Kluyveromyces lactis: one gene and its partners. Each later gene encodes a partner of the first gene's protein in a complex. Links are inferred from orthologs where the notes say so. Each region holds a gene or a part of one and is shown in the gene's direction. Other genes may lie near its edges. The genes, in order: GET3, GET4 and GET2.

Region 1 (3,120 bases):
AATCTGTCTCGATGGCTCGAATTTGGATGGAGAATGTCTATCAAAGGAAGAGAATTCCACAGGGGTTAGTTGTGGTGATTGTGTTGCTCTAAGCTGCTCTACTTCTTGTCTAGACGTAGATAGCTCCTGCTGAGCGGACAGCAATTGTACAGTTTTATCATTGAGTTGAGATTTCATGATGTTTATCTGTTCTTCAAGCTCTTCTATGGAGCTTTCTTGATCTATGTTGACAAACTTCAATTGCTTTACTTGATCTTTTAGCTTTGAAACTTCTTCCTTGAGGTTTATTACTTCATCTTGGCTTTTCTGTTCTTGTATCGTCGAAAGGAAATCTTTCTCTTTATCATCATTCCCGCCAAACAATTCTTCAACTTCATCTGTACTTTTTGCCTCTATTGGTTCTTCCTCTTTTTGTTGAACTGCAAAAGCTTCTTTAGACACTTCCTCGGTTGGGTTGGGTATATCAGTTGCTTCCTTCTCGAGGACTTCCTCCTCGGAGTCTTTCTTGTTCTCCGCAGACTCTTTTTCAGACTTCTCCACAGACTCCTTTTCAAACTTCTCTTCGTTGTTGTCATTGCCCTTTGCATCAGCATTTATCTCAGCCTTTTCTTCAGCTTTTGTCTCTTCCACGATTGGTTGTTCATCTGAATGAACCGGACTCTCTGATACATTAGTATCAGTCGGTTCCAATTCAGTTTCAGTTTCAGTTTTGACTTCAGCTGCTTCAAGATCTTCCTTGTCCTTCTTCTTCTTATTCTTCTTGTTTTTATTCTTCTTCTTTAACTCTTCAACCCTTATCTTGGCTTCTTCGAGCTTTCTGGCTCTTTCTTCCTCGGGGGATAGTTCAGACATAATCAACTGTTCGAATGTGTGTACTCACTTGCATTGAAGACGCCAATTGGTTTTAATATTTAGCTCGCAATTGTTTCAGATTTGGCATTCACCATGTAAATTCTTATTTCATATGGGGCAACTTTTTTTTTTGATCTAAACGTGTCGTTATGGTTCACACATATTTAATAAGAAAGGAATCACCATCATTGAGGCAAACATCGATCAAATAATATCGTTTAATTTCACAATGTTTCAAAGCCATTTAGGTTCGAAAGAGAACAAGATTCAAGACTTTTTGAGAAGCAAACTCAAAGTATTTGTACCATGTTCTTTATTATTCGGTATGCGATTGGTAAATATCAAATTATTATCACCACCGTATATAGTGACGTGTTCTTTAAAAGAACGTAGAAGAAGTCTTCAGCAAGATATTTAGCATTTGTTGTCACTTTTAGTGGCGACATGCGTAGATAAACAGAAGTTTTACAACTAAGACGCCCTCTTATTTCAACTGTAGGAATAACAATCAGTAAGTGTGTAAACCTGAGACCAAGTAAAGCGGAAAAGTACAATGGATTTAACAGTTGAACCAGATCTAAACTCTTTGATAACTTCCTCAACACACAGATGGATATTTGTCGGTGGTAAGGGTGGTGTCGGTAAGACGACGTCATCTTGTTCGATTGCCATTCAAATGGCTTTGGCACAACCAGAGAAACAATATCTATTGATTTCTACAGATCCTGCACACAATTTAAGCGACGCCTTCGGTGAGAAGTTTGGTAAAGATGCAAGAAAAGTCACTGGGATGAACAACTTGTCATGTATGGAGATTGACCCTTCTGCCGCTTTGAAGGATATGAATGATATGGCTGTTGCCAATAATGCAACTGGATCGGGAGAGTTCAGTGATCTTTTGCAAGGTGGTGCACTATCTGAATTGACAGGATCGATTCCAGGTATTGATGAGGCACTTTCTTTCATGGAAGTGATGAAACACATCAAAAACCAAGAACAGGGTGAAGGTGACAGGTATGATACCGTTATTTTTGATACCGCACCAACAGGTCACACTCTAAGGTTTTTACAGTTACCAAGCACTCTATCTAAACTCTTGGAGAAATTCGGAGAAATCACTGCAAGATTGGGACCAATGTTGAATTCTTTGGCTGGTGCCAATAACGTCGATCTTGTTGGTAAAATGAGTGAATTGAAGTCTAATGTGGAAAAAATCAAGGAACAATTCACCAATCCTGATATGACAACTTTTGTCTGTGTTTGTATCAGTGAGTTCTTGTCTTTGTACGAAACTGAAAGATTGGTACAGGAATTGATCTCATACGATATGGACGTGAACTCCATCATTGTAAACCAGTTATTATTTGCTGAGTATGACGAAGGAGACAGCTGTAAAAGGTGCCAATCCAGATGGAAGATGCAAAAGAAGTATTTGGACCAAATTGATGAATTGTACGAAGATTTCCATATCGTTAAGATGCCATTGTGTGCAGGTGAAATTAGAGGTTTAAACAACTTGAAAAAATTCTCCCAATTCTTGAGAAAACCATACGATCCAGTTGCAGACAGCAAAGTGATTTATGAATTGGAACAACAAGACTGAAAGGAAGATAAATATGAATCATTGATACCTAGCATTACACGGCCAATCTATAATTTTTTATTATTTGTACACTAAATAATTGCAGAGCAGATTCTAAATTGAATCATTGCATCGAATTAGCCTCTATAATGTAGCATTAAACATCTACTTTAGTTGCAACATGAAAACATTATTACTTCAGGCTTCGTGATAGTAAACGAAAAGATCCGAAAGCTAAAAAAATTTTGGTAAATTGAAATGCTCCAGGGGAGGTTCGAACTCTCGACCTTCAGATTATGAGACTGACGCTCTTCCGACTGAGCTACTGAAGCAAATTTCTTGGAAAACTGAATTTTTAAAGAGTTTCATGCACTTGGGATTTGATGTACCATTGAGTCGCAGGGAATTAACTTCAAATCACTTATAAAACTCGCAACTCATTTATAACTTGAGGCATATAGAGTATGTCATATCTATTTAAGTCTCGTATTCATGATATCGGCCTCTCTTTGTGCTTTTAGTAACCATCGTTCAATCAAGGTGTCATATTCTGCTTGAATGTGTGTCAACCTTTCCTGTAAAAGATTGTTTTCTATGTTGATGCTGATCAATTCGTCATTCAAACGCTCAGCATCTCGATTTTTTACACTAATAACATCATGTAGTTGCCTTATTTCCTCTTCCTT
Region 2 (2,849 bases), on another chromosome or scaffold:
CTGGGTCGGCAAATCAAGATCTTTGTTATTCTCAATTTGTTCCCAGCAGTTTTCTGCATAAAGAGACCATCCATCCAATGGCAAGTGAGTATGGTATTCATCTTTGAAGAAAGAGGCATCTTGGTCAACGAACAAGTCACCCAAACTCTTCACATCATTATCAAACTGTTCAGGTTGGAAGACCTTGTGGCCCAAACCGAAGAAATTTGGAACGAAAAAATCATGGAAAGATGTATCTTCACAACCTTCAGGCTTACTTAGCTGTGACCACATTTTTTCTAATTCCAGGACAAGACTGGCTTCTAAACTTTCCAATGGTGTTTGGCCGGTAAAATCTCTAATGACAAACAGCAATGCTACCTTGTGACGATTTTCATTCTTGCCAAATAACGAAAGATTCACCTCGAAAACCGTTTTCAACAACCCCATGTTATTCCCCTGGTATAGCCCGACCTGGTTTTCCCACATATTCACGATTAGAACCTCGGACACTGATAATGCAAATAGAGCAGCTTTCCTTTCAAAGTCTTGATCCTCACCTCTCTCCGCACCATCCGAACCTTCGACATCCAAAACAAAGAAATCAGGAATGGATTGGTTGGCAGCTCCAGAGCTGTATATATTGGCAGAATGGGATAACCAAATACCTCTAGTAGTCTGTTGTCGTTTAACCTGTGCATCCATGGTATCGAATTTTGTATCGAACAATTTATTCAATAACGTCGATTTACCACTTGATTGCGATCCAAAAACAGATATGACATGATACTTTACTCCAACATTTTTATCCCCAAGGCACTTCGTGAAATAGTTCAATGTCGAGGGATTGAATTGTTTGTTCTCATCGATGAGCTGAATAGCTTCTTTGAGATCACTCATGCTACTGTTTGACAGCGTTCCCTTAATAATGTAACAAAAACGAAATGTATCACCTCACTAAGCAGATATTACTCGGTTCTAAATTGTAATTAAATCCCTTGGCAATATAGCTCAGCTGCTGCTCCAGCTGTTATTGTCCTTTACCCTATCTTTCATCAGAATAGTTAATGAACGAGTCAATTTCAATATTGGTTTTGTTGAGTTTCAATATTTTAACGGTCCGAAATTTCGCCAGGAAGAGAAAGAAAGAACATGATCATATTGTAAAGGTCCAACGAGTGAACCACAGCTTTCGTGTTTCTCAGAATCAAGTTATTTTGTACTTATCAAGAGGCCTTTTGAATCCGTTAGGCGAGTTTTTACATACCTTAATTGTTTTTTGATCGAGACACTTAGAGATGAGTGATAAATTAACGAAGACCTTACAGAGATTCAATGCGAGAATTGAAGCTGGTGATTATTATGAAGCCCATCAGACGTTAAGAACCATTGCTAATAGATATGTGCGGGCCAAAAAGTATGATGAATCGATTGATTTGATTTCTCATGCAGCCGGTGCGTTTTTGAGGTCCAAGCAAGGTGGTTCTGGTTCAGATTTGATCTTCTATCTACTTGAAGTTTACGATTTGGCATCGGTTCCATGCAATGACTCTTCGGTCTCTAGACTCATTCAATTACTCGTCCTCGTTGACGGCCAGGAACCAAATTTAAAGGATGTAGTGACAGGGATGAACAATTGGTCTGTGAAACATAGTGAATATAAGTTTGGTGACCCATACTTACATTCAGCGATCGCTACAAAATTACTTGAAGGTGGATATACATACGAAGCGGAAAGATATCTAGTGCTAGGTACTCATGACTCGATGAAGCGGTATGTGGATCTACTTTGGGACTGGTATCAGCAATCCGGTGAGGACTCCAGTTTCCCCGATTTCATATCAAGAATGATATTCAACTATTTGTTCATCTTCAATATCGAATATGCATTGGAGGGATCTAAAGAACTTTTAAAACGGTTTACCAATCACAAGACAGATGTAAAATTTGAGTTAACAGAGAAAGGCCCATATAAGATTGATTATTTCTCATCGTGGGAATCGTTGAACTTTTTACAGTTGTTAATAATCGCATGTCAAACTCAAGAAACTATTCTTTTCCAGAATCTAAAATCACAATACTCAACTCTTGCCAACAAATACAACTCTGAGCTACAATTCTTGGGCCAAGAATACTTCGGTATCAAGGTCGAGAAACCAATCAACTTCTTGCAAGATATGATGTCTGGTTTCTTTGGAGGTAAATAATAATAGTCTTCGGTATAAACATACTCTATGTTATATATAATGCTAACTTTTCTTGATGCTACTTCTATTCAGAGCCTCAATGAGCTCTGGCCTCTTGGCACGGGTCAAGTTTTCTTTGGCCTGTTCGTAGGAGAACCATTGACGGTTTCTTGTCTTCACTTCAGGATAATTGTCCTCCAATTTAACATTAATCATCTCGAAGAAATGGAATTCGGACCTGGGAGGCCATTTGTTAACAGTTTCGTCATTCGAACTCTCGAATGCTTCCAAATCTGGGTTCCAGTCCTTTGGAGGTCTCATATCCTCAATGGAACCAAGTGCTTTCACTATATCGCCTGTGGCACCAGCTTCTTCCCAGGTCTCTCTTCTTGCAGCGGACTCAAAGTCAGGTTCATCACTTTCAATACCACCCTTTGGCAACACCCATCTCTTCTTATGAGCGGATGACTGGACCATTAAGACATTCTCTCGGCTTTCATCCAGTATTATACATCCTGCAACGAGTCTAGCACCAGTGACACTTGAATACAACTGATTCTCACGTCCTACTCTTGAGGTGTCGGTCTTGATAAAGTCTGACATCTTCGGTTCCTTAATACTATATATATAGACTGTTTCTCAGACCGATTTCATCAACAGGGTACACAAGACACATAGCTGTGA
Region 3 (2,751 bases), on another chromosome or scaffold:
AACGGTTAATTGAAGTTTTCCGACGTCAGATTTGTTGAGAAAAAAATATCAACTCAGAAGAAATGGACTATTTTACTGTAAAACAGCAGTTTTATACTGGTAACTATGAAGAAGCGTTGAACGAAGTTTCTAAGTTTAACAAAACTGAAGATGAGGCGTTGACTTACTACAGAAATAGATCATTGATTGCATTGTCCCAGTTCAGTGAGGGTAGTGCTGATTCTGGCTCACTTGGGCCTGTATTTGAGGCTTACTATAAATTTTTAAGCAAACCTACAGGCTCAATCACTGCACTAGAACAAACCGTTGAAAAGGCGGGCAGATCTCCATTTGCATTGAACTTATTAGCAAGTGCATTGACTATAAAGGGCGAGTTTAAAACTGCTTTGGAGGTTGCCGTTGAAGGAATTGACTCCGATGAAACAAGAGGAACCCCGGAACTACTGTTAACGGCCATCCAAATAACTTTGTTGGATAATCAACCAACCATTGCCTCGACTATGTTTGAAAATTTCCAAGCACTTCAGGAGCAATCGAACGACGATGAAATAATTTTGAATCTTGCAGAGTCATACATCAACTTCAACCAGGGTAAAGAGATCACTGGATCCAATTTCTATTTCTTTGAAGAGTTGTCTCAAACTTTCCCAAGTTGGAAGACTCAATTAGGCCTATTGAATTTACACCTCCAACAATCGCATTTGCCTGAATCCAAAGCAATCATCGACCTCTTAGAAAGCGAGTTCTACGATATCAAACAAGAAGCACAAACGTACAAGCCTGATCTACTTGCAAATAAGATTACGTACACCATCTTATCTGGTGGAAATGCAAACGAATTGAGATCGGAATTGCAACAATTGAAACCATCTCACCCACTATGTGTTGCCGACCTTGAAAATAACAAGACTTTCGATCAAATTGTGGCAAAGTACACAGCCTAAATCTATATATATCAAATAGATCTTGAGTAGCAAATAGTATTGGTATTGGCGATACTTTCCGGGTAACATTGTTCTTTTTCCCATCAATTTCGTGGGAACTGTCAAGATAAAGCGGATTGATCAAACATCCTATACAATGTGAAGGGTTAGTTTTGAAACCAGTCACTCGGTATCGTTTTACAAGGCACCTGCGTTGTATTTAGTTCGAATATTCAGGGGAGTTGATCTTCTTATTTTGATTGTCGATCTAATTCTACTTTAGTTTCCCCCGAATTGAGCTGTAATTCACACAGAATTTGGAGTTTACAAGATGGCTACTGAATTGTCTGATGCTGAGAAACGTAAATTGTTGAGGGAAAGAAGGCAACAGAAGTTTTCCAACGGAGGTGCTTCCAGCAGGTTGAACAAGATCACTGGTCAACAGCAGAATAGCTTTTTGTCTTCAACATCTGTTCTTGATGAGCCAAAAGTTACTCCGTCAGGTAACAAGAAATCATCCAATGTGAGTGACGAAGAAGTTGAAAAGTCTACCAAAGAGATTCAAGATTTACTTTCTAGTATTCCCGGTAACAAGGACAATTCTGAAACTGATGCCGCTGAAACGAATCCTGAGGTTGCCCTTTTCCAACAGTTGCTTAAGATGCAACAACAAGGTGGAGGATTCCAAAATGGATCACCAGATGCCAGTACACCGGACCTTTTCAGTTCTTTGCTAAACAACGATACGAATACTACTGCTTCTGCTACACAGATGCTCCCTAATTTTGTTGATGAGAAAGTCTTGAAGTATTACAAGTTCAAAGTGTCCAAATTGAAATCCTACATCATTTTAATAAAATGGGCTCTTCTTGCACCATACGTCTACTTTATCATGCATCCCAATCCCACTGTTCTTCAAGCTTCCAACTTGTTATCCCAAATAGTGGAAAGATCGAACTTCTTCTCCATCTTTACCGGACTAGAAATAGTATTCATCTCTATCTACTATCAAATGTTGAAGAAACTTCAAAGAGATAACAATGTTACGGCCACCCAAAACGCAGGAGGCATTTTGAAGTATCTGACAATGATACCAGAAGGCATTTTACCTATTAGGAACATTCAAGGAAAGATCGGTCTTGCATTAGAGTATTTTGACGTAGCGTCAATGTACGTGACAGATATATGCTTTGTTCTTGTGTTATTCGGTGTCATGAAATATTATCATTCGTCATTCCCTATTTCAGTTCCAATAGAACCACCGATTGCAGGGATTCAATAGAAAAGTATCTTTTGGTTGTGAAAATGGAAACTCGTTCATTAACGATCAAAACTATATAATTCTAATTATCAATTGTTTATTCCCTTAAACATGAATATGTGTTGTACTTCCACTTAAAAGAACGCTTTAGTATGTTTTCATTTCATTCATAGAACTATTTAAAGCCTACTTATATCATACACAAAAGAGCAAAGCACTACACCAAGACGAAATGCTTATTTTGGTGGTTGGTAAAGGGCACACAACTTGTTACCATCGACGTCACGAACGTAAGACAAGAACAAGCCCGATGGACGGTAACCAGGTGCATCCTCGATAGAAGTACCGCCGTTAGCAACTGCAACATCGTGGAACTTTGTAACTTCTTCTTCAGAGTCACATTTGAAACCAATGGTATAACCGTTACCTGGAGTGGCAGCTTGGTCATTAATTGGTTGAGTGACTAAAAGGAAAAAGTCGCCTTTAGCATAGAACAACCTCTTGTGTCCATTTCCATCACTGTCATCCTGTGCGGGAGCAACACCAATGACGCCAAGAACGGCATCG

The links.
Region 2: the proteins of GET3 (region 1) and GET4 are in contact, whole or in part, in a crystal structure (PDB 5BWK), measured with the Saccharomyces cerevisiae proteins. The link is inferred for Kluyveromyces lactis from reciprocal best matches to the Saccharomyces cerevisiae genes GET3 and GET4. Residues at the interface, in NP_010183.1 of Saccharomyces cerevisiae: Val5, Phe230, Pro233, Asp234, Glu253, Gln257, Ile260, Ser261, Asp263, Asp265, Val266, Asn267, Glu304, Leu305, Tyr306, Glu307, Asp308, Phe309; in NP_014807.3 of Saccharomyces cerevisiae: Ala11, Lys12, Thr16, Arg19, Lys23, Gln34, Thr35, Ile39, Arg42, Tyr43, Arg45, Ser46, Ser48, His51.
Region 3: the proteins of GET3 (region 1) and GET2 are in contact, whole or in part, in a crystal structure (PDB 3ZS9), measured with the Saccharomyces cerevisiae proteins. The link is inferred for Kluyveromyces lactis from reciprocal best matches to the Saccharomyces cerevisiae genes GET3 and GET2. Residues at the interface, in NP_010183.1 of Saccharomyces cerevisiae: Val5, Ser11, Pro233, Phe246, Leu249, Tyr250, Glu253, Arg254, Ile256, Gln257, Ile260, Asp265, Val266, Asn267, Gln301, Glu304, Leu305, Tyr306, Glu307, Asp308, Phe309, His310; in NP_011006.2 of Saccharomyces cerevisiae: Lys9, Arg10, Leu13, Arg14, Arg16, Arg17, Lys20, Phe21, Ala26, Arg29, Leu30, Lys32, Ile33, Thr34, Gln36, Ala37.

Annotation. Positions count from the first base shown.
Region 1 is NC_006041.1:143,362-146,481, forward strand, and holds GET3 (guanine nucleotide exchange factor GET3), read left to right. Parts: upstream 1-1,405; coding exon 1,406-2,455; downstream 2,456-3,120. Other genes in the region: BUG1 (Bug1p), read right to left, coding at 1-852; ATG16 (Atg16p), read right to left, coding at 2,908-3,120. UniProt on the Saccharomyces cerevisiae protein: ATPase required for the post-translational delivery of tail-anchored (TA) proteins to the endoplasmic reticulum. Recognizes and selectively binds the transmembrane domain of TA proteins in the cytosol.
Region 2 is NC_006042.1:1,886,833-1,889,681, reverse strand, and holds GET4 (protein GET4), read left to right. Parts: upstream 1-1,277; coding exon 1,278-2,186; downstream 2,187-2,849. Other genes in the region: dynamin-like GTPase SEY1, read right to left, coding at 1-879; polyphosphatase DDP1, read right to left, coding at 2,229-2,768. UniProt on the Saccharomyces cerevisiae protein: May play a role in insertion of tail-anchored proteins into the endoplasmic reticulum membrane.
Region 3 is NC_006039.1:799,758-802,508, forward strand, and holds GET2 (GET complex subunit GET2), read left to right. Parts: upstream 1-1,254; coding exon 1,255-2,205; downstream 2,206-2,751. Other genes in the region: SEC28 (coatomer subunit epsilon), read left to right, coding at 63-944; KLLA0_C09218g (VOC family protein), read right to left, coding at 2,421-2,751. UniProt on the Saccharomyces cerevisiae protein: Required for the post-translational delivery of tail-anchored (TA) proteins to the endoplasmic reticulum.